Ovis aries: one gene and its partners. The protein of the gene in region 1 interacts with the protein of each later gene in a pairwise test. Links are inferred from orthologs where the notes say so. Each region holds a gene or a part of one and is shown in the gene's direction. Other genes may lie near its edges.

Region 1 (6,761 bases):
GTGTGTGTGTATGGCAGGAGTGAGTATAGGTTGGTGGAAGCGCCTGTGTGAGCAGGAGCAGGTGCAGCAACCCTGATAAGGCACCTTGGTAATGACTTAAAGCGCAGGCTCTTGTCTGCTCACCCTTCTGGCCAAAGCTCTGTCTAGAATCCTGCCCCTCACTCCTCCTTCTGCTCCACTGCTCCTGAGGGTGGGGGAGTATCTCTCTGACAGAGGGATCAGGGGAGGGGTCCCCATAGTCGTCAGAAGAGCCCAGACCCAGGAGTGTATCTCCCTACCTCAGGCTCCAGGATGAAACCAACCAGAGGCTGGAGGCTGAGAACAACCTGGCTGCCTATCGACAGGTCAGGGTGGTGGGGAAGGATCAGGGAGGGGGAAAATGTTGATGGCAGCCCACCCAAACACAGTCCCTAAGCCCAACCCTCCAGAGCAACGTGCTCTCCCTGCCCCCCACCAGCCGCAAAAGGAGAGATCAGATTAGACTAGGGAGCAGAGAGGATGAGTCTGGGGTCAGAGCGGCCCTTTGCCCCGCCCTGCTCCAGGAAGCAGATGAAGCCACCCTGGCCCGTCTGGATCTGGAGAGGAAGATTGAGTCTCTGGAGGAGGAAATCCGGTTCTTGAGGAAGATCCATGAGGAGGTAAGATCGGGAAGGAGGGGAAAAAAGGCCAACACAGAGACTGGAACTGAGGGAAAGAGATGGGGAGACAGAGACAGATATTCAGAGAGAGAAAGGGACACACTGACAGAGAAAGAAAATGAGAGAGAGACAGAGAAAGAGAGGCAGAGAAAGACTGAGGGAGGCAGAGCTAGAGACAGATAAGAGAGCACCTCCAGCCCCTAGTAGAATGCACCCAGACACACCCTCCACTTAAAGTGGGCCCTGTTGCCTCATTCTTTTTCACTACAGCCCTGTGAGATAGGGATGGTTCCAGTGTTATCTCCTTTTCACAGAGGAGAACCCTGAAGCCCAGAAAGGCTAAAGAATGTGCTAAGGTCACATAGTTGGTCTCTATGACTTCACTCCCTCTGCCATCTGTTTCCATTGAAATGACAGCCATACATTAAAAAAAAAAAAAAAAAAAAAGACCCCGCTGAGCTCTGACTTCAGATAATAGATTCAGAATCCATGGACTCAGGGAACCCAGGAACCCATAGGGACACCCACACCCCAGGACTCAGACGTTCTTTCATGAGAACACAGACATGCTTCCAGTGCTCCTGACTTCCGGGCCTGGGAGGAGGACATCCCGGGGCCCCCAAACTAACCTGCTTCTTCCCTTATCCTGGACAACGCCATTTCCTCCAACTAGGAGCATCCCATCTCCCCTAGCCAACATCCGTGTCCAAGGAAGAGGGCATGATGCTAGGGGGAAGCCCCAGTTGCAGCTGGTCCCTGAGGCCTGGCAACCCTTCTCTCACCCTGGCCAGGAGGTGCGGGAGCTACAGGAGCAGCTGGCCCAGCAGCAGGTCCACGTGGAGATGGATGTGGCCAAGCCTGATCTCACAGCGGCTCTGAGAGAGATCCGCACACAGTATGAGGCAGTGGCGTCCAGCAACATGCAAGAGGCGGAGGAGTGGTACCGGTCCAAGGTAGCCCTGACTTTGGGGCAGCCTGCCTTCTCCAGGCAGCCCTCCTGGCTCCATACAAAAGAATCAGGGAAGGAGGGTGGAGGAAGCTGAGAGAGGATCCTCTCTGAGTGACTGACCTTCACCAAAGAAGTGAGGTGACTTGCCCAGGGTCATACAGGCACTATTACTTCCAATAAGTACTTATTAGTATCTGTTGCGATTGACTACTAGCCAACACTCTTGTGTTTTAGGCCCTGGGCTTTGCAAGGATTATCTTACCATGAAGTAGGTACTGTCCTTTGATAGATGACAGAACTGAAGTCCAGAGAGGTTAACCAATTTGGCCAAATTCACACAGCTCCTAAGCAATAGAGCTGGATTTCTAACCCTAGCTGTCTCACTTAAGAGCCTGTATTCTTATCTTTTTTTTTAACTGTTTATCTGGGGGGCTTTCTTGGTCATGCCTCTAAGCATGTGGGATGTTAGTTCCTTGACCAGGGATCAAACCCACGCCTCGCCCATTGGAAGGGTGGAGCCTTCACCACTGGACTGCCAGGGAAGTCCCAAGCCCACATTCTTGATGCTTCTGCCATCTGCATCCTGGGTTACTGAGTATCTGCTGCATGCCAGGCTCTGCCCTGCATACAGAGACACGTCTGACCAGGGGGATGTGATGTCACTCAGCTTGATGTCTGTGAAGAACGCAGCAGGGCAGGGTTTACACGCAACGCGGAAGCAGGACAGATTTCATGGGAGGGCAGTGGGGCCAGGCGGGACTGGCAGCCTACGAACATACAGAGAAGAGAGAAAGGGCATTCAGGAAGGGCATGCAGGACACAGCCTGAGTAGAGGCCATAAAGCACAGAAAAGTGGGGGCCCGGAGATCCTGGCCCAGGGCATGGAGCTGAGGAGTGTAAGTGGCAGAAGTCAGGGATGGTTCTGAGCAGGTTAAGGCGTGATGGAACCATGAGGGATTCAGAGCAGGCTGAAGGAGAGAGGGTTATTAGAACCTGGTCTCTGCTCACCAGAGCTCCCTGTGTGTGACCTAGGAGGACAGGATTCAGTCCCGAGGATGGAGCTACTGGAGAGTCTGGGCTCTGTGACACCCTCTGCTCATTCACGCGTTCCCTCATCAGGCACTGAGCTAGATGCTAGAGAAGTAGCAATGTCGTCTGTGTCTGTGTCCATGGGCCACGGGTGACTGTGAATAATCCCACCCAGTGCCAGTGGCGTGGGGTGGGCTGGAAAACAGCCGTACCGTCCGGCCCATCTCCCTGATCCTCCAGACCGCGTACCAACCCCCCGAGCCCACTAAGCTCCCGCGATATGCGGCCCCAGACCGCCTTCCAGCATAAAGCCCTCTCCTCATCTAGTTCGCGGACCTGAACGACGCCGCCGCCCGCAACGCGGAGCTGCTCCGCCAGGCCAAGCATGAGGCCAACGACTACCGACGGCAGCTGCAGGCCTTGACCTGCGACCTGGAGTCCTTGCGCGGCACGGTGAGCAGGGGCGGGGCCGCAGGCGGAGGAGGGGTACGGGTGAGCGAGCCGGGAACCTGGGACCTACAGCCCTAGCAGACGCTGAAGGACTGGCTCGGGGCGGAGCTCTGAAAAGTTTCTTGGGGCGGGGCCTCGGGGAACGGTCCGGCTCCACCCACAGAACGAGTCCCTGGAGCGGCAGATGCGCGAGCAAGAGGAGCGCCACGCGCGGGAGGCGGCGAGTTACCAGGAGGCGCTGGCCCGGCTGGAGGAAGAGGGGCAGAGCCTCAAGGACGAGATGGCGCGCCACCTGCAGGAATACCAGGATCTGCTCAACGTCAAACTGGCCCTGGACATCGAGATCGCCACCTACAGGAAGCTGCTGGAGGGCGAGGAGAACCGGTGAGCCCAGACCGGCCGCCTGCCCTACTGCCCCGCCCCAGAGTCGCCTTGCTCCCTTCACGAATACATGTGTGCTCGGACATGTCCAACTCTTTGCGACTCCCATAGATGGTAGCCCGTCAGGCTCCTATATCCATGGGATTTCCCAGGCAAGAATACTGGAGTGAGTTGCCATTTCCTTCTCCAGCGGGTCTTCCCGACCCAGGGATAGAACCCACGTCTCTTTGTGTCTCCTGCTTTGGCAGGTGTGTTCTTTACCACTGCGCCATCTGGGAAGCCCCATCAGGGACTGTCTTATTCAGCCTCGTGACCAGCCCCCTCCTATCCCAGCGCCCAGCACAGTGCTCACCTAACACACAGTTGGTATTCATAAATGCCTGATGAATGAATGGATGGATTCAATTCAGCCCATGTTGATCAGATCCTAGGGTAAGGACTTGGGTTATCTTCCAAACTAAAAGGCTCACTCCCCACCCTCCCAACAAAGACTGGACTTCTTTTCTGCTGACCAATCTCCTCTGCCTCCTGGGAACTCTCTTCACTGCTCTCCCCTCCCCTCTGTCATCCTCAGAGCACTCACTCTCTTTTGAGTGGAGGTGTTCCCCCAGAGCTCTTACAGCGCGGGGAGTGTGTTGGCTGCTGGAGAAGCTAAGAGATGGAGGTCCGCCTTTCCTGGCAAGGAAGAGGGCCTCGAAGCTATTATGGTGACCTTGGACCAGGATCTGGCCTGGGAGTGTCCTCTGGCAGGCTGGTCACCCCTCTCCTTCTGCTGTCTTTCAGCATCACCATTCCTGTTCAGACCTTCTCCAACCTGCAGATCCGAGGTCAGTAGAACAGGGTTTTGTGGGCAGAGTGTTGGATTCCCGCCCCCTTCCCCAGGCCTGTGGGTTGCTCTTCTGGTCTGAGCCCGAGGACCAGGGCAGAGGGGCCCAGTGCTCTCTGTGGGGACCTTCAATATTCATGGCAGAACTTCCAGCCAGAACACACCATTCCAGAGCATTCCAGGTGGGGCTTGCAGCCACTCCTGTCCTGCTCTGCCCTTTGTCCCTCCTCCCATGCCTACTCCCCATTCCACTGCAGAACTGAGTGAGGGTCTTAACCTCTCACCTGTCTGCAGATCCCTGTCCAGCTGAGTGTTTGATGTTTGTGTGTTTTTTTTTAACTGCTTGTCACTACAGGGGGCAAAAGCACCAAAGAAGGGGAAAGTCACAAGGTCACAAGACATCTCAAAAGCCTCACAATACAAGTTATACCAATTCAGGCTCACCAGGTTGTAGATGGAGCCCCGCCGGCTCTCGGTTAGCTGCCTGCCTTTTAGACATGGTGCTTTTTTCACCTTAATAGGGAGCAAGCTCACCAAGCCCACTTTCCCCATCTTCTTGAGCTCCCTCCTCCCAGGTTTCCCTAAAGGGCCAACCCTGTGTCATTTCCCCAGCAATCTCAGCGCCCAGTCCAGGACCTGGCACAGGGTAAATGTACATTAAAGTAGTAGAGTTGGCCAGTGTTCAAGGTGCTAAGTCCTCGGGTACTCAGCTCAGATGCTCTGGGCCTCTGAGCAAACACCAGCTTCTGCCTCACCTCTTCCCCATCACCAGGAGGGCCCCTAGAGTCTCACGGTGCCTGGCAGCCAGGCTCTTGGCCTGATTCCTCTGTCCCCGAGGCTCGGTTGTTCAGCTCAGGGCTGATTCAGCCCAGAGGATTATTTCCCTCTAGACTGCTGCTCTTGGAGTGAATAAAGTTTTATGTCCCCTGCTCTTAATATTAAACATTAGTGAGTGTGACATGTTACATTTTTCTCTCTGCAGGGGGGAATAAATTGCTTCTTACTTGTATGTGGCCCTCAAATAATTCTCAGCTGAGGGAAAAAATAATTCTTCTGGACTAGAAATTTAGGAACACTAGCTATGCATGTCCGAGGGCTTAGTTCAGTATCAGAAGAGTTAACCAGCAGACCAGGTAGAGGCAATACTGCCACATGCCAGACAGAAAAGGGTCCTAGAGAAGTGGCAGAGAGAGGCAGGAAAAGGGAAGAGGGACGGGAGAGGGACCCATGTGTACGGAACATGAATACGTGCCCATTGTTTTACACACATTGTTTCAGTTAACTCACTACTTCGACCTAGAGAAGTAGGCAGCAGTATCCCCATTTTGCAGATGAGGACACTGAGGTTGGAAGAGGTAAATTAACTTACCCACAGTCATGTGGCTGAGCTGGGACTCGAGCTCTGGCCTGCCTGACTTCAGTAACCACATGCTCTTTCCTTGGTGTGATACTGGGTTGTCAGGGAGCCAGGGGCCAAGTGAGGAACTGCAGAGGGGCTGAAATGCAGCCAGGCCAGGACAGCAAGCAGGGAAGTGAGGGCTTGCTTGGCACTGTGGGGACTTAGGAGGTTGCCAGCCCCTCTGGGAGAGCCTAGGACTTCTCTGGTTGGATAGGCTTTTGTACTCACGATTAGGGGTCTCAGGGGGAAACCAAGGGTGGGAGAGGATGTCTAGGGCCCTGAGAGCCTATGGAGGCCTCCTCTCCTCATGTCTGCAGAAACCAGCCTGGACACCAAGTCCGTGTCAGAAGGCCACCTCAAGAGGAACATTGTGGTGAAGACCGTGGAGATGCGGGATGGAGAGGTGAGGAGGGCAGGCCCAAGATTCTGGCCCCAGCAGGCTCTGGGAGAAAGCCTGGACTGGCATATAGAAGGTTCTCCATAACTCCCAAGAGTTCCTCTGGGAGGCTCTGGAAGAGGGGAAGGAGCCCAGATATAATTCCATTCCCCAGTCCCTACACTAAGGGGAGCCTAGATGCTTAGGCCACAGGTCAGGGTCCTGACTCTGGCTTTCTTTCTCCCTTTCTCACCCTCAGACTCAGGTGCCCCCACAGCAGGCCTGGGGGAGACAGAATGAAAATTAAATTTAGTAACTTTCACTCCCAACGTTCAACTTTCAGCTTGGTGAAAGGGACCTGGCAGAAGAATGGGAAGAGGAGATTGGGCATATCCCCTCCCCACCGTACCAGCAGAATTAGCTAATCTTACAACAGCAGCTCAGCATGTGCCAGGCAGATGTTTGCCAGATGTTTGACAGGATTAGCTCGTTTCCCCCTCTGCTGCGTGGCGGCATTCTGGTTACTATCATAGAAAAGTTGAAAGGCTGGGAACTTGTCCCAGGTCACATTGCCTAGCCATGGTGGACCTGGAGTCTGTGTGAGCTCCTAACTATGGCACCTTCTCTGTCCCCTTCAGGTCATTAAGGAGTCCAAGCAGGAGCACAAGGATGTGATGTGAGCAGGACCCATCTGGCGGTCACTGCCCCACCGT
Region 2 (7,451 bases), on another chromosome or scaffold:
GAAGACCTAGCGCAGTCAAAAACAAACAAACAAACAAAAATTATATATATATATGTAAAGAATGTGAATGAAGGTAAACTGTGGTGCTTACTGTCGCCCTTTGGAGTGCTGTGTACCTTACATCCCTCCATTTAAGACTCCATATGTATGCCAGGTTGGCACACTTGGCAAGGTGAGATGGATTTGCAGGCCATGGAGATTCATTATTCCATTAGTTCCCCACTACAAAGTGAGGGTCCAGATCCTGGAGAGTCATATGACCTCAGTGCTGGTATGGGGGTGGCAGTGAGGTTGGAAACTGGATTGAATTGTCATGCTAGGCAATATTTGAAAATAATGCTGAACAGAGTAACTAGCTGATGTTATTTCTTTAAAATTTATTTTAAAGAAACCTAGTTTCTCTGTAGCATCAAACTATTCAGTACCTACATGTATACACAGTGGGATATACAAAGATGGATGGTATATAATCTTTGTCCTTAAAGAGCTTTTTTATTTCACATAAGGGACAAATATGCATGCAAATGATGACGATGCAATGCACAACATGCAAGTTCCATGAACATCCATTGAGAGTTCATCACGAGCCAGCCCTGTGACCAAAAAATATTATGAGAGCACAAAGGAGCAGAGCGATTCCTTCTGGCTGGCAAGACTGGGAAAGCGTTCTTGGAGGAAACGGCATATTACCCAAGGTTACATAACCACAAAGAGTAAGTGATGAGCTGGGATTTAGTTCCAAGCAGTCTGAGTACAGAGCCTACTCTGTACTGAATGCTATGTTCTACTACTTTCCAGCACATGGAGTTGGAGGAAGGCCACTGAGGTAAGAGAGTATGAGTAGTCAGATGTGGCTGGACCCTGAGTGTATATTACTGAGTATATACTACTGATATACTACTGGGTATATATCAACCCTGGCTGTACATTAGGACTTTGGGGGAAAGTTTACACAAGATTGATACCCAGGCCTTAACCTCCAGAAAAACTGCTTTCCAGGTAGCCCTAAAACACAGCTAGGGTTGACTCTGGGGAGGCAAGGCATGTTTCAGCTTTATCCTGTAGGTAAAGAAGAAGCGATTGGGTAGGAGAATGACAGGTTCAGGTGTATTTAGGATTTAGGATAGGGACTTTCCCGGGGGTCCACTGGTTAACCTTTCAATGCACATTCAATCCCCAGTCAGGAAACTAAAACACACATAATAACTAGAGAAGCTCCTACACACCACAATGAAGACTCAGAACAGCCAAAAGAAGCAGATGTATAGCAGTTAGGAGAGTGGTGCCGTCCCAGTGAGGAGTGAAGAAGAAACTCACCTAGGGTAGGAGAAATGAAAAGGAAGGGACATATATGAGACACTGCAGAATAAATTCAACAGAGCCTGCTGACCCGTTAGAAGGGGTGACAAATAGGGGGGAGTGGAAGAAGACTGAGGTTTCAGCATGAGAGGGAACACTGGAGAAGTGGCTTGGGAAATAGGGAGGTAATCACAACTGTGTTTTCTGTCTTATTGACTTTGAGATACCTGAGGAACATTCACGTGCATGTGCTACGTGGGCATTTGGAAACTTGAGTCTGTTACTAAGGGGGAGAACTAAGCTAGATGCCACTGAAACATAGGTGAGAACTGAAATTCCAGCATTTGGTTGAAATCATTAAGGAAGAGAATGTCTGAAACTGCATTTATATGAGAAATAAGCGGGCTTTGGAGAACAACTACATTTGGGAGGCAAGTGAGGAAAAGACATAAATGCAAGAATATGAAAGAAGATGGAACAAGGACATGAAAAAAGAAACCAAGAAGGCACAGAGAAGCAAGTGAGAAGAGAGTTCCAACGGAGAGAAAAAAATCAATAATGTCAAAGAGTAGGTTGAAGAAATAGCAGCTTTTGTCTTTAGGGTCATTGGAAGGTCACTGGTAGACTGGCCAGTTCAAAGCAGAGACGGGGAAACCAGACCACAATGGACTGGACAATGAGGGAGAGTCAAAGAAGTGAGGGCTGCTAATGTAAAGCTTTCTATTAAGAAATCTTTCTGAGAAGAGGAGAAAGGACTGGGACCCTAAGGTGAGAGGTGAGGTCAAGGGAAAGGAAGTTTGTTTGTTTGTTTTTTTTTGTAAGGCAAAGCTAAGCATATTTTAAAACCAGAGTGTGTGGATGGATACAACTTGAAGTTAGCAAGATGGATGGGTATGGTGAGTCAATTCCTGGAAGGTACTGAAAGGGACTAAGTCAAGAGAACTCAAGGAAAGACAAAGATTTTTTTTCCTCAGAAACAAGATGGAAAGGAGTCAAGATGGAAGGAGGCACCCTGGGAAATTCTGCTAGGCTAGAGGGGAGCTTTGGGAGTTGATGACAGGCAAGCCCCATGCTGAGATAATTGGGACCTTGAAAAGAGTGACAAACCTCTGGAAATGCATACACAGAGAGGGCACTTGAGAGACAAGTAGAAGGGAAAACAAGGCATCAAAAGACTGCTTTGGAGCACCGCCAAGGAATTTCTTTATAACACGTAAAAGCTGCAATATGACATGTTGAAGTAGTAACACCGACCACTGCTGTCTATATTATTTTCCATGGGCATGAATCTTTTTAAGTAAGTAGTTACAAGGGAAAAAGAGTAAGCTGCCTGTTTCAAACAGCTTGCACAAATGAACTGAAGTATGAAGACAAATAAACTCTCTTCTGATGTTAACAAGTTATGGGATATCTTTAGGGTTGAAATCAGGTTATACTGAGTATTTTGGATCTGGTGGTTAACTTCATTATCATTACACTTGTCTGAGTCATTCTTGGGCCCTAAGAAGACAGGGCCAGAGTTACCACATGAAAGGAAAACATTATATCAAAATAATGAGATTGGCTACAAAAACCTCCCCAGGAAGAGACTGCCTAGCAAAAGCTAGCGGAGTTGCTAAAATCTGACGCAAGCTCCAAACTATGTGCGAGGAAAAGCATGGACAGAGTCGACAGCCGTACCTGGGGCCGGTACCAAGCAGCCGAGCGTGCCGAGAAAGGCGATCAGCAGGCCCACTCCCGCTAAGAGGAGGGCCGACACCGGAATCTTGCGGCAGAATGACCTGAGGGCGCATCTAGGCGCTCCTTTTTTTGCCAGAGAAGGGCACACCCCAGGATCGGAGAGCATCGCTCTGAGAAAAGTACAAGCTCTTTGATGGAGCCCCAGAAGAGCCTCTCCCACCCCCTACCCACGTTCCCCAAGGGCAGGGCTGGACTGAGCTGCAGAGTTGGCGGGACACCGAGTCTAGTGACCCTGCTGGACCGCGCCCGCGGCCCCGGCGGCCCCGGGTGAGCGGACTGCGCTTGCGCACGCCCCGCGGAATTCGCGGCGGGGCGGGGGTGGGCGCGCGCACGTGCCCCCGTCTCCAGGCAACGGGAATAACAGCTGCCCTCTGAGAGCGCCTGCGCGGCCGGCGGCTGCTGGAGGGCGTGTGGTGAGGAAGCTTGAGTCCTGTGGCTTCCCCTAAGCGGGAGCCGCCTCCAAAAGAGCCTCAGGTACGCGGAAGGGCGGGAAGGCATGGGGTCAGCGCATCGATCTCCCAAGGGCCGACGGACTGAAGAGCCGAGGCCTTGTCTCCGAAGCGGAGTCACAAGTCGGGGACGTCCCGGGTGACCCTCCAGGACAGAACGCAACTTCCGCGTTCCGATCTAAACCCGCGGTGGCCGGATCGAGTGGTCCTTGCGTGAGGGTTTGGCAGCCAGGCACCTGCTGTATGCCCTGAGCCGGCTCTGTGCTCTTTAGGATCAAGCACGGTTCCAGCAGGAGGGAAGCCCCGAGAGTTTTTGTGCCGGTCACTTACCAATGGGCTGCAGTTTTCTCGCCTATAAAATGATGGGGCTGAACTCACAGTCCAACGGCCCCTCAATTCCAGTCCTGTAACTCTGGGCGAATCCCCAGCGAGGGGAAGCTGCTTGTCCTGTGTCACAGGCCTAAAAACTGACTTTCAATCCAATAGCTCTTTCCATCTGCTGTGGAGTGTATTATTGTGTATGAGGAAGCGTCACTGTGTATGGCAGAGGCTGGTAGTGATACAAAGGAAAGGTAGGTGGCAGGAACACCTGTATCACACTCCTTTTTCTATCCTCAGAACCTAATAAGCACCCACAGAACACAGTAAGCATTCACCAAATGCTTATTGAATGAAAGCTCTGGTGGACCCAGCACCAGCGTCCCTAAAAAGTCTAAGGGGAATTGTGGGTAGGCAGATGTAGAAACAGTTATACTTTAACAGTGGAGGTAAACCTCAGACAAACTCCTCACATGTGTCTGGTTTAAATCTCCCCTAGGCTTCAGTCCAGGCTCTGAATGGCTGGTCTCCAGTTGGCGTTGCCTCTGCCTATGGGCGTTATGCTCCCACATAATAAAAGGGATGCTCCAGAGCTCCATTCAGCTAAGCAAGACCCCTATGGAAAAGGTGACTCTTCCCAGCAGTCCTCTACAGGGCACCCGAGGAACAATTTCCAGCAGAAGCTTTTGAGTAACCAAGAACTGATGCTGGATAATCTCTACACTCACCCCAAGTGGAACACCTGCACAAAAGCCCAGAGCTGTTCGTATCCTCACTGTGCTGGAATGAGCCAGCAGGATTCAAGGAACAATCCCCAGGGCCAAGCCAAGGGTTTGTTTTACACATCAGACCCTCAGTCCCGGTATCCCAAAACAAATGACCAAGAATTCATCCCCTTGACAAAGAAGCGAGTGGGGGTTGACCGAGCATACCCTCTGAAACCTGTGTTTCATCGGAAGTCCCATAGTACAGGTGAGGCTGGCACTGATGGAGACCGGAACGCCTCTCCAAGAATCCCTGAGCCCAGAAAGTATTCGTACAGTAGCTTTGGTTCGAGGAACTGGGTGAATTCATCGATGGTTGGTCCAGTTGCTGCCACTCAGGAGGAAAGGGTCATGGCAAATGCCAACAGGACGGAGTGGATGCAAATCCAAAGACTAGAAGCTGCAGGGGAGAGCTTAGGGGAGGAAATCCGCAGAAAAGAGACTCTTCTGAGGGAAAAGCTGAAGAAGACGGAGGAGGAACTCAGAAGGATCCAGAAGGGAAAAGAACAGGCTGAGGAAAATGAAAAAAGAGAGCTTCAGAGAATGGTGCTCTCCCAGAGGAGAGTTAAAGATAATAGCATCACCGCATACAAACCTATCTTCTCTCCAGCACTCAGGTCTGAGGAGGTCTTCAACAGAGACACAGGAGAAGATGAAACTTGGGGACAATCTCGAGAGAATTCTAGTCCATTCCAGTTCTCTAATTATAGAATTCAGAAGCTCAAAAGGGAAAGACTGGTGGCAAGCAATAACAAAATCCGAGACCGAGTCTCAAGGCCATTGAAGCAGAAGTTTTCTCAAGCTACAGAAGCACCGCTGAGCGCTTTGCAGAGATACACCCGCAATTCTAGCTCATCCAGGGCACCAGACTCCTCAGGCTCCAGCTGTTCCACTGAAGAGCCAGAACTGGGCGAGTGCAGCCACTGCGGCCGAAAGTTTCTCTTGCTCAGGCTGGAGAGACACTCCAGCATCTGCCGCAGGATGCAGGGTTCCAAGAGGAAAGTGTTTGACTCCTCTAGGGCCCGGGCCAAGGGCACAGAACTAGAGCAGTACTTGAACTGGAAGGGTCCAGCTTCAGTCAAGGTAACAAGGGCCTTATGGATTTGCCATTGAGTGGGGATCACTTTTAAGAGCCTGTTATGTCCTCATCTGTTTTCTTTAGAAAGATTTCATGTGTCTTACAGGGAGAACGAATTCACATTTGATTTATTGATTACTACTGTGTGCCAGTCACAGTGATGGGAGGTTTTCATATGTTCCTCACTACAGCCCTGTGAAGATTTCATTATCTTATCAGTTCAATAATCAAGTCTCAGGTTAAGCTGCTTAAGATCACAAACAGTTTTAAATGGCAGCATATAAATCTGGGTCAGAATGACTCCAAAATCTAGACTTTAAAAATATGTTGTTTTGATTGTATAAGTAATAAACACTTACAGTAGAAAATTTAAGAGAATGAAATATATATATATCATGAAGCATTTCACTACCCTGACAAAATTCCTCATTCTTTATAATATATTCTACCATCACCCCAAATTAGGACTTGTTACCACTCCTGGAACTCTAATTTTTCCAGTTTGGCTAATTTTGATATACCTTCTTAGTAAATAGATGAAACGCACGATTAAGTTTGGAATTCTTTTTCTCCCCATTTAGAGCGTAAACAACTTAAAGGTGGAGGACTTTATTTTTTTAATAATTTTTATTGGAGTATAGTTGATTTACAATGTTGTGTTAGTTTCAGGTTTACAGCAAAGTGAATCAGTCATATATAGGTATAGATATCTCTATATCTATACATATATAACTCTTTTTTAGATTCTTTCCCCATATAGGTCATTGCAGAGTATTGAGTTCCCTGTGCTATTCAGCAGGTCCTTATTAGTTATCTATTTTATATATAGTAGTCTGTATATCTCAATCTCAATCTTCCAATTTATACCCCCCCCCAACTCCTCCTTGGCAACCACAGATGTTCCCTACATCTGTGACTCTTATTTCTGTTCTGCAAACAAGCACATTTGTACCATTAAAAAAATTTTTTTCCACATATAAGTGGTATCATATGATATGTGACTTTCTCTTTGTTCAGTATGACAGTCTCTAGGTCCATCCATATTGCTACAGATGGCATTATTTTATTCTTTTTTTTATGGCTGAGCAATATTCCATTGTGTATATGGACCGCATCTTTATCCACCCCTCTGTTGCTGGACATTTAGGTTGCTTCCATGTCTTGGCTATTCTAAGTAGTACTGCTGTGAACATCGGGGTGTGTGTATCTTTTTGAATTATGGTTTTCTTCAGATATATGCCTAGGAGTGATTTTTTCTTCTGGGATAGAGGACTTTATTTTTGGTGAACATTCCTAGCTGCAGAAAAACTAGGTTGTAAAAAGTGACTTCAAGACAGTTCCATATGTTTGGGAGAACTTCATAAGCACATTTGGACAGTCAGATCGGGAGAAGATTGTCTGGTTATACCTTGTCAAGGTTATACCACCGGGATTGTAAATAAGTGTTTCTCAAAGTATGGCATGCTGACAAACACTTTTTATTTTAGTAATTTTAATGTGTATTAGGAAAGTAAACCATAATAAGCCCTTGATTTCTAGGAATATTGACTTTAAAGAAAAATAGTAAGGAGGATAAGGTGAAAGTGGTATGCAAATAACCAAAATGTGGGAAAGCCTAGACCACATGATCTCAAAGCCCTGTCTCTAAACTATGAAAGCATTATTTTATTTTCATTTCCTTCCAACCCTCCCCACTGCTGCGCTAGCATTTCTTGTCCATTAGCACTTCATAGTTTATGTGTGTATTTATGTGATGGCTGTTAAGAGATGTTTTTTGCAGTTAGAGTTATTTCTTTTAGTATG
Region 3 (7,527 bases), on another chromosome or scaffold:
ATTCACAGACTCCCATTTAAAATCTTTTATATGCCAGATTGCATTCATCATTCTTCCATTTTTGTTAAGTGAAGCCATTATAATTGCCAATATGATTGAGCTTTATTGGGTATGAGATGACAAGTGCATCCACACTGAGAAATGTAATTATACCAAAAACTAGGGAACCTAATACTTTAGCCTCTCTGACATAAATAGGGAGTCATGTAGAATCCAGGCTTCTGCATTTGGACAGAGATTAGGTTGTCATTCTCCTGACCACCTTACCAGGAACTTGGGCTTGCAGCCAGTGGCCCAGCCTTTCCTCTCACTTTCTTCCTTGATTATCAGGCTCCACCAACTTTTCTGACCTCACAGCTCCTAAAGGTCCCTGCTTCCAGTGACTCCCTTTGCAAAGACCAGGGTTTATATTTGGTTTTTAGGATTGTATATGCAGATTAGCTGGGAAATGTTTGATTTTCCTCAGCAATGTCTCAAGTGATTGCCATTCTTCTGAGGGCTTCTCTATATCCTAAGAGACATGTTCTAATATAGGGCTTTTCTCATCCCTTGATGTTCTGTCCATATCATCAGGTTCTTCCTTTCTCACTTAGAATAAGGGTTTCCTGACCATGATTTTCTGTAACCTTTCCCCCCTTATTACAAATCAGTACTGTTTATTAGAGGCTTCCCAGGTGGCCCTAGTGGCCTGCCCATGCAGGAGACGCAAGAGACACAGGTTCAAGCCCTGGTTGGGGAGATCCCGTGGAGAGGGAAATGGCAACCAGCTCCAGTATTGCTACCTGGAAAATCCCCTGGACAGAGGAGACTGGCTGGCTTCAGTCCATGAGGTTGCAAAGAGTTGGACACAACTGACCACATATTGTTACTTAGACAAAAATTAGTAAATACCGATGAGCAAAAAGTTATGTAGACATTTTGGATTCTCTTAGTATGGGTTGGGCACTTTTATATAACTCGCTTAGGCCTGACAAGGAACCTAGGATTTATATTATCTCGTTTTTTCTTCCTTTGCAGTTGAGGGAAATGAGACTTGAGGTTAAATGAGTGGCTTAGGTTCATTAGCTAATAAGTTGCAGAGCCAAGAATTGTTATATTACCCTTCCAGAGCTTTTTCCTCTATGTGTTCATGCTGAATTACTTCAGTTGTGTCTGACTCTGTGGGACCCATGGACTATAGCCCGCCAGGCTCCTCTATCCAGGGGATTTTTTAGGCAAGAATATATACATACATAAAAAATAAAATTCAACAGCAGTCTTTTTAATCCAACATTCTTCTCTTTCCCCTCCTCCCGAACCTATCCTCAGGATCGACGAGAATGTGTTGGGAGCCCAGCTGGACGTGGAGGCCGCCCACTCAGAGATCCTCAAGTACTTCCAGTCGGTCACGTCCAACCGGTGGCTCATGGTCAAAATCTTCCTCATCCTCATTGTCTTCTTCATCATCTTCGTGGTCTTCCTTGCCTGAACCCTCTCCACTCTGAGGCACTCCATGGGGGTTTGGAACCCTTCTGGGAGGGCAGGTGGCCAGAGCTGCCACTGAGCCTGTGCAGGGTGCTTGGGAGAAGGGCCCTGTTTCCTTGGAACTGCTAAGAATGACCACTGCCCTCGGTCCCCCACTCCTTGCCTCTGGCCACCCAGCCCTCCCCTCACCACCCTCCAGCCCATGAAACACACACGGTTCTGGATTTGGACTCTGCTGTGAAGTGGCTGGAAAGGAGCAGAGGCCAACTGAGGGGCTCGTCCGGGAGATTGTCTCCACCAGGAGATTTTTATAAACCCTCCCCAGCCTGTCGCAAAGGGAACTTTGGCAGCAAGGGGAGATGATGCCTTTCCCCACCTTCCTGAGAGCAAGGAGAGGAAGTGAAACTGCCCCAGGGACCAACTTTCCCATCTGGGTTAGAATTTGACTTCTTCCTCTCCACGACATGAGGCAGGGGGCCCTGAGCCCCTCGGCGGCCTGCACAACCCCAACTTTGGCTGCAGGTGACTCTCAATCTGCCAAACGTGCTGCAGCCCGTTTTCTCCCAATTACAGCAAGACTGTCAGCCTCACTAGCCATGTCGTCATTTCTGGGTGGGAGCGCCGAAGAAGGGCCTAGGCAGAAATGGAGGGAGCCTGCTGCCCAGTATTACAACTGAAAGGGCTGGACTGATGACCCTGAGGGGCCAGGCTTTGGGCTCTGTATACACAGCTGCTTCCAGCAGGCCTAACCCAGTGCAGCAGTACTTAATTATCATGGAAAATTCCCTTCAAAGCAGGGTATACGATCCCAGAGTGGGTCTCTGATTAGTGGTAACTTCTAGGACCATCTCCAGAAGTATTTGGACCTGTTTCATCTGCATCTTCCAGTCCTACCGTTTTCCTTGGGCTGGATGAAGCAGGAGTTCTGCCTGCTGCCAGGAGTGAAAGGTGAAGAATTTGTTCCCAGCTCCAGCTGAGGCTCTTGGTCCCCTCTTGAAGCCCCTCACCAAATCCAAACCAGTCACAGGAGAATGAAGTAGAGATCTGCCTGGAATACCTACCCTACCCTGGAAGGTCAATATGCTTGTCAGTCCTGACCAGGACCCACAACCACATCATTCTGAGATCACTGGAGTACCCCAATTTCACACACCCCAAAGGAAGCTCAAGCTATAGTGACAACAGTCACACACTGGGCTGGCTGTAGTACCTTGGGGTTGGGGGCGGTAGTTATCTAGGAGAGCCCTGGCCTTTCTTAGCCCTGGCCTTTTAGTATTTGCTCTCCGTTTGACCTGTGTCCAGGGGGTGCTCTTGCTTGCATCTTAACTTTAGTTGACACACGATGTGGGTTTAAGCACAGCACATTGATGGTGGGTGGGGTGATCTGTGAAGATGATCAAAGCCTGACAAATGCAGTTTTTCTCATTTGACTCCACAACTATTGGGGGGGGGGGTGTTGCATAGATTGGAAATTTATTTCATAATATTTGCTGAGTTCCTGGTACATGCCAGGTATGGTACTGAGCCAGGTGCTGGGGAGAAAAAAAAAAAAGCCATGAATTAGTCAACTCCTTGCTCTCTTGGAGCTTACCTTCTAGTTTTCTATTTCATTTTATAGGCAAGGAAAGCAAGGCATAGATCTGTAGAAGGCAAAGGGCTGAGCTGAGACTTAAGCCCAGGCTGGATCCTCCTAGGGGTCTTGAAGCGGTCACTCCAAGGCACTGGTCTCCCATTCCTCAGAAGCCCTTCTTGTGGCCCTCCTTCCCTTTTTCTTTTTGAACCCTGGGGTGCAGTGGCCATCTCTGCTTCAGTGCCAACCTTGGAGGTGCTGCTTACCGGCCGACGATGAAAGCAGAGGGCAGGTGCGAGTACTAATCAGGGGGATCAGTAAACTAATCACTACTGGGCGGAGCGTCGGCCTCAAGCTCCGCCCCGGTGTCTCTGCTGGTCGAATGCGCACGCGCATCTCCCAGCGGCTCCGCCTATGATCGTGGGACGTCGACAGCGCGCGACACGGTCTCCTTATAAACGCGGTGGTAGCCGGCGTAGGAGCACTTCGACCTAGAGCGCCTGGGCATTCGGACGTTTGGCTAAGTGGCGGCCCGCGACGCAGCCCGCCCCTGCTTCTAGCTGTGCCATGGCGGACGAGGGGAAGTCATACAACGGTCAGTGCTGGTCCTTGGGCCGGGGAGAGGGGCGATCTGGAGCCCCGCTGGGCAGCGCCGGCCTAGGCCGCAGCGCCGGGGCGGGAGGCCGCGAGGGGCCGGGTGTCCGCGGGGAACGGCAGTGAGTGGCGCGGGCCCGGGGCGAGGCAGCCCGGGCCCTGGCTGAACTCGAGGGTGAGTGCCCGGCTCGTTGACCCCAGAATCCTGGCGCTGTGAGCACCTGCGGCTCGGAGCGGGTGGCTCGGCGGTGAGGTGACTGGATTCCTTTGAACTTTGTGGGTGGTGGATGCCTGTCAGTTCAGTTTGGCGGCTATAGTAATGTGAGTCAGTACCCTGTTCTTGGGCTGCCGGTGCCCTATTTTCTACCGTGCGTCCAGTCGGTCTTGCCCCCTCCCCCGCCGTCCGCAGCTTTAGCTTTAATATTCTAGACCTACACTTTAACTCACTGTTTTAGCCAGAACACTACAATGGGTTTAGATCCAGAGTAGTGGTTGTTGGCCATGCCGATCATATGTGAGTTAAACACTCAGGCCTGATTTTCCATCCCCTGAAGGAGGATAGAAACAGTACCTGTCTCCTGAGTTTGTCTCCATGTGTGTGTGTTTGTATTAAAACGAGATCGTGTGCGTCGAGCGCCTGACATCGGATAAACTTATTGATAAATGTTAACTGCACCTTCTAGTCGTCTATTTTTTCCCTAGGGTCGTTTCATGAGATTCAATGTTTGCAGAGTACTGGGCTTCCCTGGTGGCTCAGAGGGTAAAGTGTCTGCCTGCAATGCAGGAAACCCGGGTTCGATTCCTGGGTCGGGAAGATCCCCTGGAGAAGGAAATAGCAACCCACTCCAGTATTCTTGCCTGGAAAATCCCATGGATGGAGAAGCCTGGTAGGCTATAGTCCATGGGGTCGCAAAGAGTCGGACATGACTGAGCGACTTCACTTCACTTCACTTCATAGGGCTCTTTTTCAGAAGCCATTTCTACACACCACAGTTGAGAGGAACTCCAGAGTTTGAGAATAAAATTTATAAAAGAAACCATTAGATTGATCATACTTGTAGTTGATGTTTGTACTCAGTAGGCAAAAGGAGTATTGATTAAGTTAATGTAATCATTATGATTGGTTTACCTGGATATGAAAGAGGTCACTTGGGGTTAAGTTGATGTGGGTGGGCAGACAGCAGATTTCAGGTGACTTTTCGGAGAATGAGTTGTGTCCAGTTACCCTTGGGTCACTTCAACATTCACTTCAGAGTGGCAGTTTTTTAATATGGTTGATTTACAACATAATATTAGTTTTCAGGTATGACATGAAAGGGAACATAGTGATTCAGTATTATGATAGATTATACCCCATTAAAAGTTATTACAAAATAATGGCTGTCACCCCCCGTGCAATAATATATTATTGTTGCCTATCCATTTTATACTTAGTAGTTGCTGCTGCTGCTGCTGCTGCTAAGTCGCTTCAGTCGTGTCCAACTCTGTGCGACCCCATAGACGGCAGCCCACCAGGCTCCCCCGTCCCTGGGATTCTCCAGGCAAGAACACTGGAGTGGGTTGCCATTTCCTTCTCCAATGCATGAAAGGGAAAGTGAAATCTCTCAGTCGTGTCCAACCTTCAGCGACCCCATGGACTGCAGCCTTCCAGGCTCCTCCGTCCATGGGATTTTCCAGGCAAGAGTACTGGAGTGGGGTGGCATTAGTAGTTGGTATCTCTTAATCCCATAACCTTATCTTGCCCCTCCTGCTTTCCCTCTCCCACTGATAACCAGGAGTTTGTTATCTATATCTGTGAGTCTGTTTCTGTTTTGCTAAATATATTCGTTTTAGTTTTTACATATGTGATATCAGACAGTATTTGTCTTTTTCCGACTTACTTTACTAAGTATAATAACCTCCATGTCCATTCATGTTGTTGTAGTGGCAAGATTTCATTCTTTTTTTATGGCTGAGTAGTATTCCGTTGTGTGTGTGTGTATACCACATCTTTATCCATTAGTCCCTTGATGTTCATTTGGATTGCTTCCATATCTTTCCCTCTGTAAACAGTGTTGCTGTGAACAATGAGATGCAGGTATCTTTTTTTTTTTAATTGACCTGAAAACAAGTGAAGCTCATATGTATTCTTCCCTTTTTCTTAGTTTTGATGCTTTAAAGAAAAATCTTTATATTGGAGTATAGTTGATTTACAGCAGAGTGATTCAGTTATACATGTATCTGTTGTTTTTCAGATTATTTTCTCAGGGAGGTTATTACAGTACTGGGTAGAGTTCCCTGTGCTATATACAGTGGGTCCTTGTTGATTATCTGTTTCAGATAATAGTAGTGTGCAGATGTTAATCCCCACTTCCTCATTTAGGCATGCATCTTTTTAAATTAGTACTTTTTTTCTTTTTTCTGGATATATAATTGGAGTGAATTTGCAGGATCATATGGTAGTTCGAATTTCAGTGTTTTGAGGTGAGAACAAGACTTAAAAGAAGCCTTTCAATTGGTCGTAGTTGTAACTGACATTTGTGCTTTATAGGCAAAAGAAGTATTGTTTACTGAAAGCTGATGTAATCATTGTGATTGACTTTTCAAGATGTGATCAAATTTTGAGTAGGGGTAGTCTTAGAGAGTGAACTTATGGTTACCAGGGAGAGGTGGGTAGGGAAGGGACAGATTGGGAGTTTGGGATGGACGAGTACACACTGCTATATTCACAATGAATAACCAACAAGGACCTACTGTATAGCACAAGGAGTGCTGCTCATATTCCATTAACAGTCTATTTGGGAAAAGAATTTTAAAAAGAATAGATACATGTATAGGTAAAACTGAATCACTTTCTTGTACACCTGAAACTAACACATTATTAATCAGCTATACTCCAGTGTAAAATAAAAAGTTAAGATTTTTTTGAGTGGGGTTAAGTAGATTTGGGAGGGTGAGAAAAGCAGACCTCAGGTGACTCTCGGGAGTCTGAGTTGTATCCAGTTGCACTTGAGACACTCACTTCCACATTCTGCTTCTCCTTTCTCTAGTTCCAGTTTCTGCTTCACTTTTCTCAAAAGACTTCCCATAGTTTTCCAGTCACTGAGGTTGCCACCCCACCAAGAGGGTTCTTTCCCTGCACAGGCAGAGGAGTTTGCACAGAGGTGGCCTCCGTGGTGACTGTGTATCTCCTCTGATGGTGCAGGGTGCTGGATAGTGCGATTGCCAGGCAAGATAGCTGAAGCAGTGGTGTCTTCTCTTCTTTTTAAAGTATTCGAATATGTATTTGGCTGCGCCAGGTCTTAGTTGCAGCACACAGGATCTTTTTTTTTTTTTAATTGTGGCATTCGAACTCTTAGTCAAGGCATGTGGAATCCAGTTCCCTGACCACGGGTCAGACTCCGGGCCCTCTGCGTTAGGAATGGGGAGTCTTAGCCACTGGACCACCAGTGAAGTCCCTCCAGTGATGTATCTTCTAATTTTTGTTTTGTTTCCAAACCCAGAGCACGATGATCGAGTTAGTTTCCCTCAAAGAAGAAAGAAAGGCCGGGGCCCTTTCCGGTGGAAGTCCGGCGAGGGGAACCGGAGGTCCGGAAGAGGGGGCTCCAGCGTTCGGTCCTCCCGCCTGGAGGACGACGACAGAGACGTGGCGATGAGCGATGTCCAGGATGCTCCCCGAGTACGATAGTAAGTAACCAGTTGGTCTGGTTTGAGTTCAGCGGCCCCCTCATTTATGTGGCCCTCTTACTGCGCATGTCATTTCTCTTCCAGCTGGAAGGGAGAAATGCCAGGACCAGCTTACTGGCAGCTGATAGTTGTGGTCCTGATAACAGTGCAGGAAGATCTTTGAGAAGGCATTCCTAACCTTTGTGAATGTTCTATTCTCTCCTTCCCCACAGCACCCCCTATGCTGCACGACC
Region 4 (7,608 bases), on another chromosome or scaffold:
GCCACAGTGTATGGTGAGCTGCTGAACCCTGAGGGAATCTCTGGGAAGAAAAGAATACTTGCCATCTAGAGGCCATGGCTGCTCCTCATGGTGATTCCCGAGGAAACTCAGAATATAGAAACATAAGATGAGATGCATATCAAAGAAACAATTTCAGGAGCCTAGACTTTTGGATCTTTCCATACATAGAAAAGTGCTAAATTCCTTAACTTGACATATCTTGTTTTCTTTAACTAATCATCTTTTGATGTTTGCCATTTGTCGCAAAACTTCTGTATATCCTGACTATTCTGCTTGCCTCCTCAGAGCAGTTTTTCAGGGTTACTTGGGATACTGTCTCCCAGCCTTGAAATCCTAAAAGTTTCCGTTCAATAAAACGTAACTCTTGACTTTTAGGTTGTGAATAACTCTTTAGTCAACATACCTCAATATAGTTTATGTTGTCAATTACAAGTTGGCGCTTACCTGTCAACTACAAATTGGCACTAGCCAAAAGCATTGCCTCTGACTGAACAACAAGGGCATTTACCATCTGCCTCTGCAGAGACTGAGCCCTGTGCTACCGCAGCTGTTGACCTTCAACACCCCTAGAGCGAGTTCAGGGTGGAATAAGGCACTTTGTGCTTCAGGGAATCTGGTGCGACAGGTCTTTAGATTGTTGTTGTTAAGTCGCTCAGTTGTGTCTGACTCTGTGCCCCATGGACTGCAGCACGCCAGGCATCCCTGTCCTTCACATCTCCTAGAGCTTGCTGAAACTCACGTTCATTAAGTTGGTGATGCTATCCAACCATCTCACCCTCTGTTATCCCCTTCTCCTCTTGCATCCAGTCTTTAGACAGTTGGATATTTTCAGGAACTGATTTCATGATCCTAATCCTTGCATCTCCTCATATCTAGAAAAGCACTAAATCGTTTCTTAATAACATCAGATCCTTGTGACTAGCAGAATACCTCTTGCAGTAAGAACTTGATTGCATTGAACTCTCCTTCACCAAAATCTTATTTATTGACTTTCCCCAGCTGCCTCTTTGGTGCAGATGATGCCACCCTTATGGCAGAAATCAAAGAACTAAAGAGGCTTTTGATGAAACTGAAAGAGGAGAGTGAAAAAGTTGGCTTCAAATTCAACATTCAGAAAACTAAGATCATAGCATCCAGTCCCATCACTTCATGGCAAATAGATGGGGAAACAATGAGAGACTTTATTTTGGGGGGCTCCAAATTCACTGCATATGGTCTCTGTAGCCGTGGAATTAAAAGATGCTCACTCTTTGGAAGAAAAGTTATGACCAACCTAGATAGCATATTAAAAAGCAGAGACATTACCACCAAAGTTTGTCTAGTCAAAGCTATAGTTTTTCCAGTTGTCATGTATGGATGTGAATGTTGGACTGTAAAGAAAGCTGAGACCTAAAGAAATGATGCTTTTGAACTGTGTTGTTGGAGAAGACTCTTGAGAGTCCCTTGGACTGCAAGAGATCCAACCAGTCCATCCTAAAGGAAATGGTGTTAGAATCTAGATTTCTTCTCCCTGCATTGTTTCAGCCATAGGCTGGTGTAATCCAGCAATTGAGTCTGGCAGTTGGGTGGCTCTGCAGCCTTCTTTCTGATATGTAACTATAAGGGGAAGGATATTGTAAGGGTAAGCTCAACATTCAGAAAACGAAGATCATGGCATCTGGTCCCATCACTTCATGGGAAATAGATGGGGAAACAGTGGAAACAGTGTCAGACTTTATTTTTTTGGGCTCCAAAATCACTGCAGATGGTGACTGCAGCCATGAGATTAAAAGATGCTTACTCCTTGGAAGAAAACTTATGACCAACCTAGATAGCATATTCAAAAGCAGAGACATTACTTTGCCGACTAAGGTCCGCCTAGTCAAGGCTATGGTTTTTCCTGTGGTCATGTATGGATGTGAGAGTTGGACTGTGAAGAAGGCTGAGCACTGAAGAATTGATGCATTTGAACTGTGGTGTTGGAGAAGACTCTTGCTTGAGGGTCCCTTGGACTGCAAGGAGATCCAACCAGTCCATTCTGAAGGAGATCAACCCTGGGACTTCTTTGGAAGGAATGATGCTAAAGCTGAAGCTCCAGTACTTTGGCCACCTCATGCGAAGAGTTGACTCATTGGAAAAGACTCTGATGCTGGGAGGGATTGGGGGCAGGAGAAGGGGACAACAGAGGATGAGATGGCTGGATGGCATCACGGACTCGATGGACCTGAGTCTGAGTGAACTCCGGGAGATGGTGATGGGCAGGGAGGCCTGGCATGCTGCGATTCATGGGGTCGCAAAGAGTTGGGCACGACTGAGCAACTGAACTGAACTGAACTGAAACACCAGATGTTGCTGTTCAATCACCCAGTCACGTTCTATTCTCTTAGACCCCATGGATTGCAGCATGCCAGGCCTCCCTATCCCTCACCATCTCCCATGCCCAAGTTCTTGTCTATTGCATTGGTGATGCCATCCAGCCTTCTTATCCTTTGATGCCCCCTTCTCCTTCACACCAGATAGTAGATGTATTTAACACAGTCAAAGGAAAATAGGTGTGAAGTGTAGCTCCTGTACAGTTAAGGGGCAGAAGAGCAAATTTAGTTACGTTCAAAGTTAGGAGTTTTTAAAGTAAACAAAAACAAAAAAAGAACAACTAGAAATATTCAGGCCTGCTCGCTGTTCTCTTTTATCTTCTTTATTCTCTGGAAAGGGAAGAAAAATACCCATTCCTCTTTTTTTTTCACTTGTTACTGAGACAGTATGAACAAACAGTATGAGGTCAGAAAAAATGTTACACTTTAAACAAGTATAAATTATGAAGTGCAATGCGAAATTCACATGACTTTTTCATATACTGTGCTTAAAAAAAAAAAAAAAATCCACCAAAGCAAACTGCTCACTCTTCAAAGCAAGTCTTCTCTCCTGCTAGCTTGCACTGTCTTTCTGGCCAGCCTTCCTTTAGTCCATTCCTCCAGCACAGGGAAACCTCTTTGGCGATAAGGGCACTTTGGTAGAAATCTTTACAACATGTACCTTTAATCTAAGGAAATGGCAACCCACTCCAGTGTTCTTGCCTGGAGAATCCCAGGGAAGGCGGAACATGGTGGGCTGCCATCTATGGGGTCGCATAGCGTCAATGCGGGAGACCCGGATTCGATCCCTGGGTCGGGAAAATCCCCTGGAAAAGGAAATGGCAACCCACTCCAGTACTCTTGCCTGGAAAATCCCACGAGTGTGGTAGGCTACAGTCCATGGGGTCGCTGAGTCGGACACGACTGAGCGACTCCACTTCAGCTGTGACATGCCGTCAGTCCCGTGCAAACTGCGTAATACATGTACGCTGACACAAGTCTTGTTCAGGGCAACCCCAATACACGAAGGAGTGTAACCCCTTGACTTAACCTTCGGTTTCTTCCAAACCTAAGGGGTAGACAATTTACCGAAATAATAAGCAACGGTTTGCGCATGCTCTTTTGGTGGCGCAGATTCCCTCCTCCCCCTAGTCGGAAGTCCCGGTTTGTTTACTAAATTACGACAGTCGTAAACCGAGATTTTTGTGCCGGCTTCCTAGCTTTACGACAACAACTATGGCGGCTGCCGGGGGTAGATTTGAAAGTGCGAGTAGCATCGAAGAGCGTAAAGAACAGATTCGAAGTGCCAGGACCGAGGTGTTGCGCCAGGTACCTCAGTTTTGAGGCTTTGGGAGTCATTTAGATTTGAGAGTGGAGGCTTTCTGGGAGTCAGGCGTCTAGCTCTCCTGCCTCCCTGCACCTTTTCCTGTTTCAGTTCCTCAGTATCTTACCGTATCTAGTTGTGTGGGGATAGATGTTTTCCTTTGGGATGCTCGCACACTGTTGGTATCTTCTGCCTCTTAGATGGTCTGGAAGGCTCCAGTTGCTCATATTCTTTTCCAGAAAACTTGTTCCTTTCCTCTGACGTTCCTTATCTTTTAAAGCATCCGTGCTTGACATTTCTAGCACCTGATCACCTGTGCTGCGCACTTTCGAGGGACCCCACTACTTTCCCTGCATATCTTACAGCCTAGGTCCTCCGTCTTGTTATATCTGAAATGAAATTTTCCGTTTTCAGAAACTCGTGTAAGGCACGTTAGAGTAGATCGTTTCATTCTCCTTTTAAGTTATTTGTGTCAGTTATCCGGCTTATTGCAAACCCGTACTGAACCAAACAGCGACTGAGACAGAGATCTAAAAAATTTAGCTCCTCGAAAAAAGTTGAGAAACGTGTTTTTCATTAAGATTGAAATGAGTAGAAGTAAAATAAGGAAGGGAGGAAGTAAACTGTACTATTGACTTAGCTCAGAAGATGTGAGAAGTGTGGCAGGGGAAAAGAAGTGTGAAGGGGAAAAGTTGTAGTTAGAGAACAGTGTAAGGTGAAACAAGTGATGATCATTATTTTATCTGTTTTAAGCTATAACCGTTTAAAACACATTTAAATGCTGCTGCTGCTGTTAAGTCGCTTCAGTCGTGTCCGACTCTGTGCGACCCCACAGACGGCAGCCCACCAGGCTGCCCTGTCCCTGGGATTCTCCAGGCAAGAACACTGGAGTGGATTGCCATTTCCTTCTCCAGTGCATGAAAGTGAAAAGTGAAAGTGAAGTCGCTCAGTCGTGTCCGACTCTTCGCTACCCCATGGACGGCAGCCTACCAGGCTCCTCCGTTCATGGGATATTCCAGGCAAGAGTACTGGAGTGGGTTGCCATTTCCTTCTCCATTAAATGCAAATAAGGAACCGGTGTAGGAGATAGGAAGGAGAAGTTATAATGACTGCAGTCAGATTTTACAGGGGAAGAAAAGGGCAATAAGTCTTACAGAGGTGAAAGATTGGTGGTCCCTGATTTCAACATATGTAATATATGTGTATAATAAATATCCTTCATCCTTGTCTCTGATATTTCAGAGGGAGTTTTTGGAGGGAGTGGATTTGTAAACTATGATAAATTTTATAGTATATCTATGTACAGAATTTTGAGAAGGACCAATCCTAGCTTTGAAATTTGGGGAGAGAATGAAAAGGCAGGAACAACTTCTTAGGAAGCTGTTACTTAGTTTGACTGTTTTTGAATGATAAAAACTTATCAATATGATCATTTGTTTTTAGAAAGGTGATTCTTTCTGAAGCATTTTGAGGGTGTGGGTAGAGGGTTATGGACATTGCAGATTGAGGGTATGGAGGTCAGTCTCCTAACAGTTACAGAAGTATCAGGCGCTGTCAGTGGAATAGCGAAGGGAAAAGAAATTCAAGTCATTTTTAAAGTAGGGAGCTTAGGGGACAGGAAGAGGTCTGCAGTAGGTCCCAAGATTCTGTCCTTGATTGGTGGCTCATTTCACTGTACTGTGCTGTGCTTCCTCATGCAGTCCTGTCTGACTGTTTGTGACCCTGTGGTCTGTAGTCCACCCGGCTCCTCTGTCCATGAGGTTCTCCAGGCAGGAATACTGGAGTGGATTGCCACACCCTCCTTCAGGGGATCTTCCAAACTGAGGGATTGAATCCAGGTCTTCCCCATTGCAGGCGGATTCTTTACTACCTGAGCTACTAGGGAAGTCCGGTTCCTTTCACTAGTGATTGCTAATTGGTAATGCAATTGGTAATGTGGAAGGAGAATTTGTTGTTTTTAATCTTTCTTACACTTTGGTAGGGGCTTCCCAGGTGGTGTTAGTGGTAAAGAACCCACCTGCCAGTGCAGGAGACGTAAGAGACGCGGATTCAGTCCCGAGGTTTGGGGAGATGCTCTGGAGGAGGGCATGACAGTCCGCTCCAGTATTCTTGAGAGGAGAATCCCATGGACAGAGGAGCCTGACAGGCTACAGTCCATGGGGTTGCAAAGAGTCTGTCACAACTGAAGTGTCTTAGTATGCATGCACACACACTTTGATAGAAGCAAATTTGTGGTGAGCCTTGCACGAAAGTGGGGGAGGTTTCTGTTTTGCTTTTTTGGTGAGAAGTAGGTGGGTCAGTTGTTAATTTTTCTTTTTTCACGGTTTTAGGCTAAAGCCAATTTTGAAAAGGAAGAAAGGCGTAAAGAACTGAAACGACTTCGGGGTGAGGAAACATGGATGCTACCTGATGTGATTAAGAGAGTTGAACAAATCTCACAGGTAAATACTATTAGGCTTACTTGGTGTAAGCTTTTTTTTTTTGCACTTATTCAAGTTAATACTGGAGGAGCAAGTTTATAAACTCTTTTTCACAAGTTAAAGAATGAATATCACATAGTTGACAGTACTGAATATTTGTCTTTCTGGCTAGAGTAGTATATATTGATATTTTGGACATGATATTGGAAAGATTGTATTAGTTGAGTTGGCTGGTAGAAAGCTTAGATCCAAGTTTCCAGTCCACTTGTGGTAAGTTTATGGATCTAAAATGTTATGTATTTTAAACTTAATGTGATGCTTTTTTTTTTAAGGGGGATGTCTCAATTCTTGCTTTCTCTTTCCACAGTTTATGCTGTCTTGTTAGATTTTATATGGTTCGTAATCTATAAATTCTCTTGGGCCCGTTGAAGGAGATACATATACACTGTGTTTTCATATATATGTTTGATTATATCTGTCTGTCAATGTATTTACAAATAAATTAAAACTCCTTATATTTTTCCAAGAAATTTTAGCTATATGGTTTATTAGTAGTGCATATATTATAGAAGCATGTCAAAATTTTTTAGAAGAAGCTATTTATTTAATCATATTCCTTGTCTCCTTTCATGAAAGATTTAAAGTGTTTTAGGACATAGATCTTTTCCTCAAAATACTTACTTTTTAAAGTAAGCTAAAACTAAATTCTTGCCTCTTCAAAATGATTATTTATAGGAAGACTGTGTGAAGAAAAAGAAGAAAAAAGACAAGCATTCAAAAAAAGTAAAGAAAGAGAAGAAAAAAAAGAGCAAGAAACGAAAGTGTGAAAAAAATGAGTCAACCGACAGTTCATCAGTAAGTATGTGCTAAAACTAACCAAAGAAGCTACTTGAGAATATTGTATCTAAAGAAGCAACATACTGGGACCTAAAATACTTATGAGAACTTAGGAAATATTACTAGTTAAGATACACGCCCAAGAAAATGCTTGGGAGTCATCTACTTGGAGGTGTACAGGAAATGGTAGAAATATGGACCTTAGGTTGTAGATAAGGGCTAGAGGATGGAGATGTGGTTGGAGAATCATTGCTGTTTAAAGCCATTAGCATGGATGAATTGCCTTGGGAAATTGAAAAGAAGGAAGAATACCAATACTGAGAAGCCAGACAGCAAGTAAAGGATTTTAGGCAGAAGCATTTGGAAAATTAGGAGAAACAGGAAAGAGTGAAAGGGGAGTAAAAATTGTACCATAAAATAAGGCAAAGAGTACCAAGACTTTGTTTGTTTGTTACCTCAGTTTGTTTTTCATAGGCATTAACAATTAAGTGTTTAAAATGGGTTGTGTTTGTGTATTTATCTTTGGGACAGAAAGGAAGAGAGTGCTGGATCTGTTGTGTCTCTAGCCAGGTTTTGGATGAGAGGACTCACAGAACAAAGGAAAGCAAGGCAAACCCTCATGGTTATTTTCAGGAAGAGAAAAGTACGTGGTGCTTAATGAGATGAGTTGGAGGTG

Evidence for each region.
Region 2: the proteins of GFAP (region 1) and ZC2HC1C interact in binary tests that used the Homo sapiens proteins (3 or more experiments, as listed by UniProt). The link is inferred for Ovis aries from reciprocal best matches to the Homo sapiens genes GFAP and ZC2HC1C.
Region 3: the proteins of GFAP (region 1) and NXF1 interact in a two-hybrid assay, tested with the Homo sapiens proteins (3 studies listed by BioGRID and IntAct). The two-hybrid records come from large-scale screens. The link is inferred for Ovis aries from reciprocal best matches to the Homo sapiens genes GFAP and NXF1.
Region 4: the proteins of GFAP (region 1) and CWF19L2 interact in binary tests that used the Homo sapiens proteins (3 or more experiments, as listed by UniProt). The link is inferred for Ovis aries from reciprocal best matches to the Homo sapiens genes GFAP and CWF19L2.

What each region holds. Positions count from the first base shown.
Region 1 is NC_056064.1:44,353,379-44,360,139, reverse strand, and holds part of GFAP (glial fibrillary acidic protein), read left to right. Parts: intron 1-283; coding exon 284-344; intron 345-542; coding exon 543-638; intron 639-1,429; coding exon 1,430-1,591; intron 1,592-2,943; coding exon 2,944-3,069; intron 3,070-3,229; coding exon 3,230-3,450; intron 3,451-4,230; coding exon 4,231-4,274; intron 4,275-4,628; coding exon 4,629-4,748; intron 4,749-5,989; coding exon 5,990-6,075; intron 6,076-6,686; coding exon 6,687-6,728; 3' UTR 6,729-6,761.
Region 2 is NC_056060.1:84,394,484-84,401,934, forward strand, and holds the start of ZC2HC1C (zinc finger C2HC domain-containing protein 1C), read left to right. Parts: upstream 1-3,412; 5' UTR 3,413-4,060; intron 4,061-4,305; 5' UTR 4,306-4,324; coding exon 4,325-5,653; intron 5,654-7,451. Other genes in the region: ACYP1 (acylphosphatase-1), read right to left, coding at 2,980-3,145.
Region 3 is NC_056074.1:37,644,273-37,651,799, reverse strand, and holds the start of NXF1 (nuclear RNA export factor 1), read left to right. Parts: upstream 1-3,488; 5' UTR 3,489-3,601; coding exon 3,602-3,629; intron 3,630-7,110; coding exon 7,111-7,294; intron 7,295-7,506; coding exon 7,507-7,527. Other genes in the region: STX5 (syntaxin-5), read left to right, coding at 1,309-1,468.
Region 4 is NC_056068.1:15,694,812-15,702,419, forward strand, and holds the start of CWF19L2 (CWF19-like protein 2), read left to right. Parts: upstream 1-3,569; 5' UTR 3,570-3,587; coding exon 3,588-3,680; intron 3,681-6,005; coding exon 6,006-6,116; intron 6,117-6,830; coding exon 6,831-6,950; intron 6,951-7,608.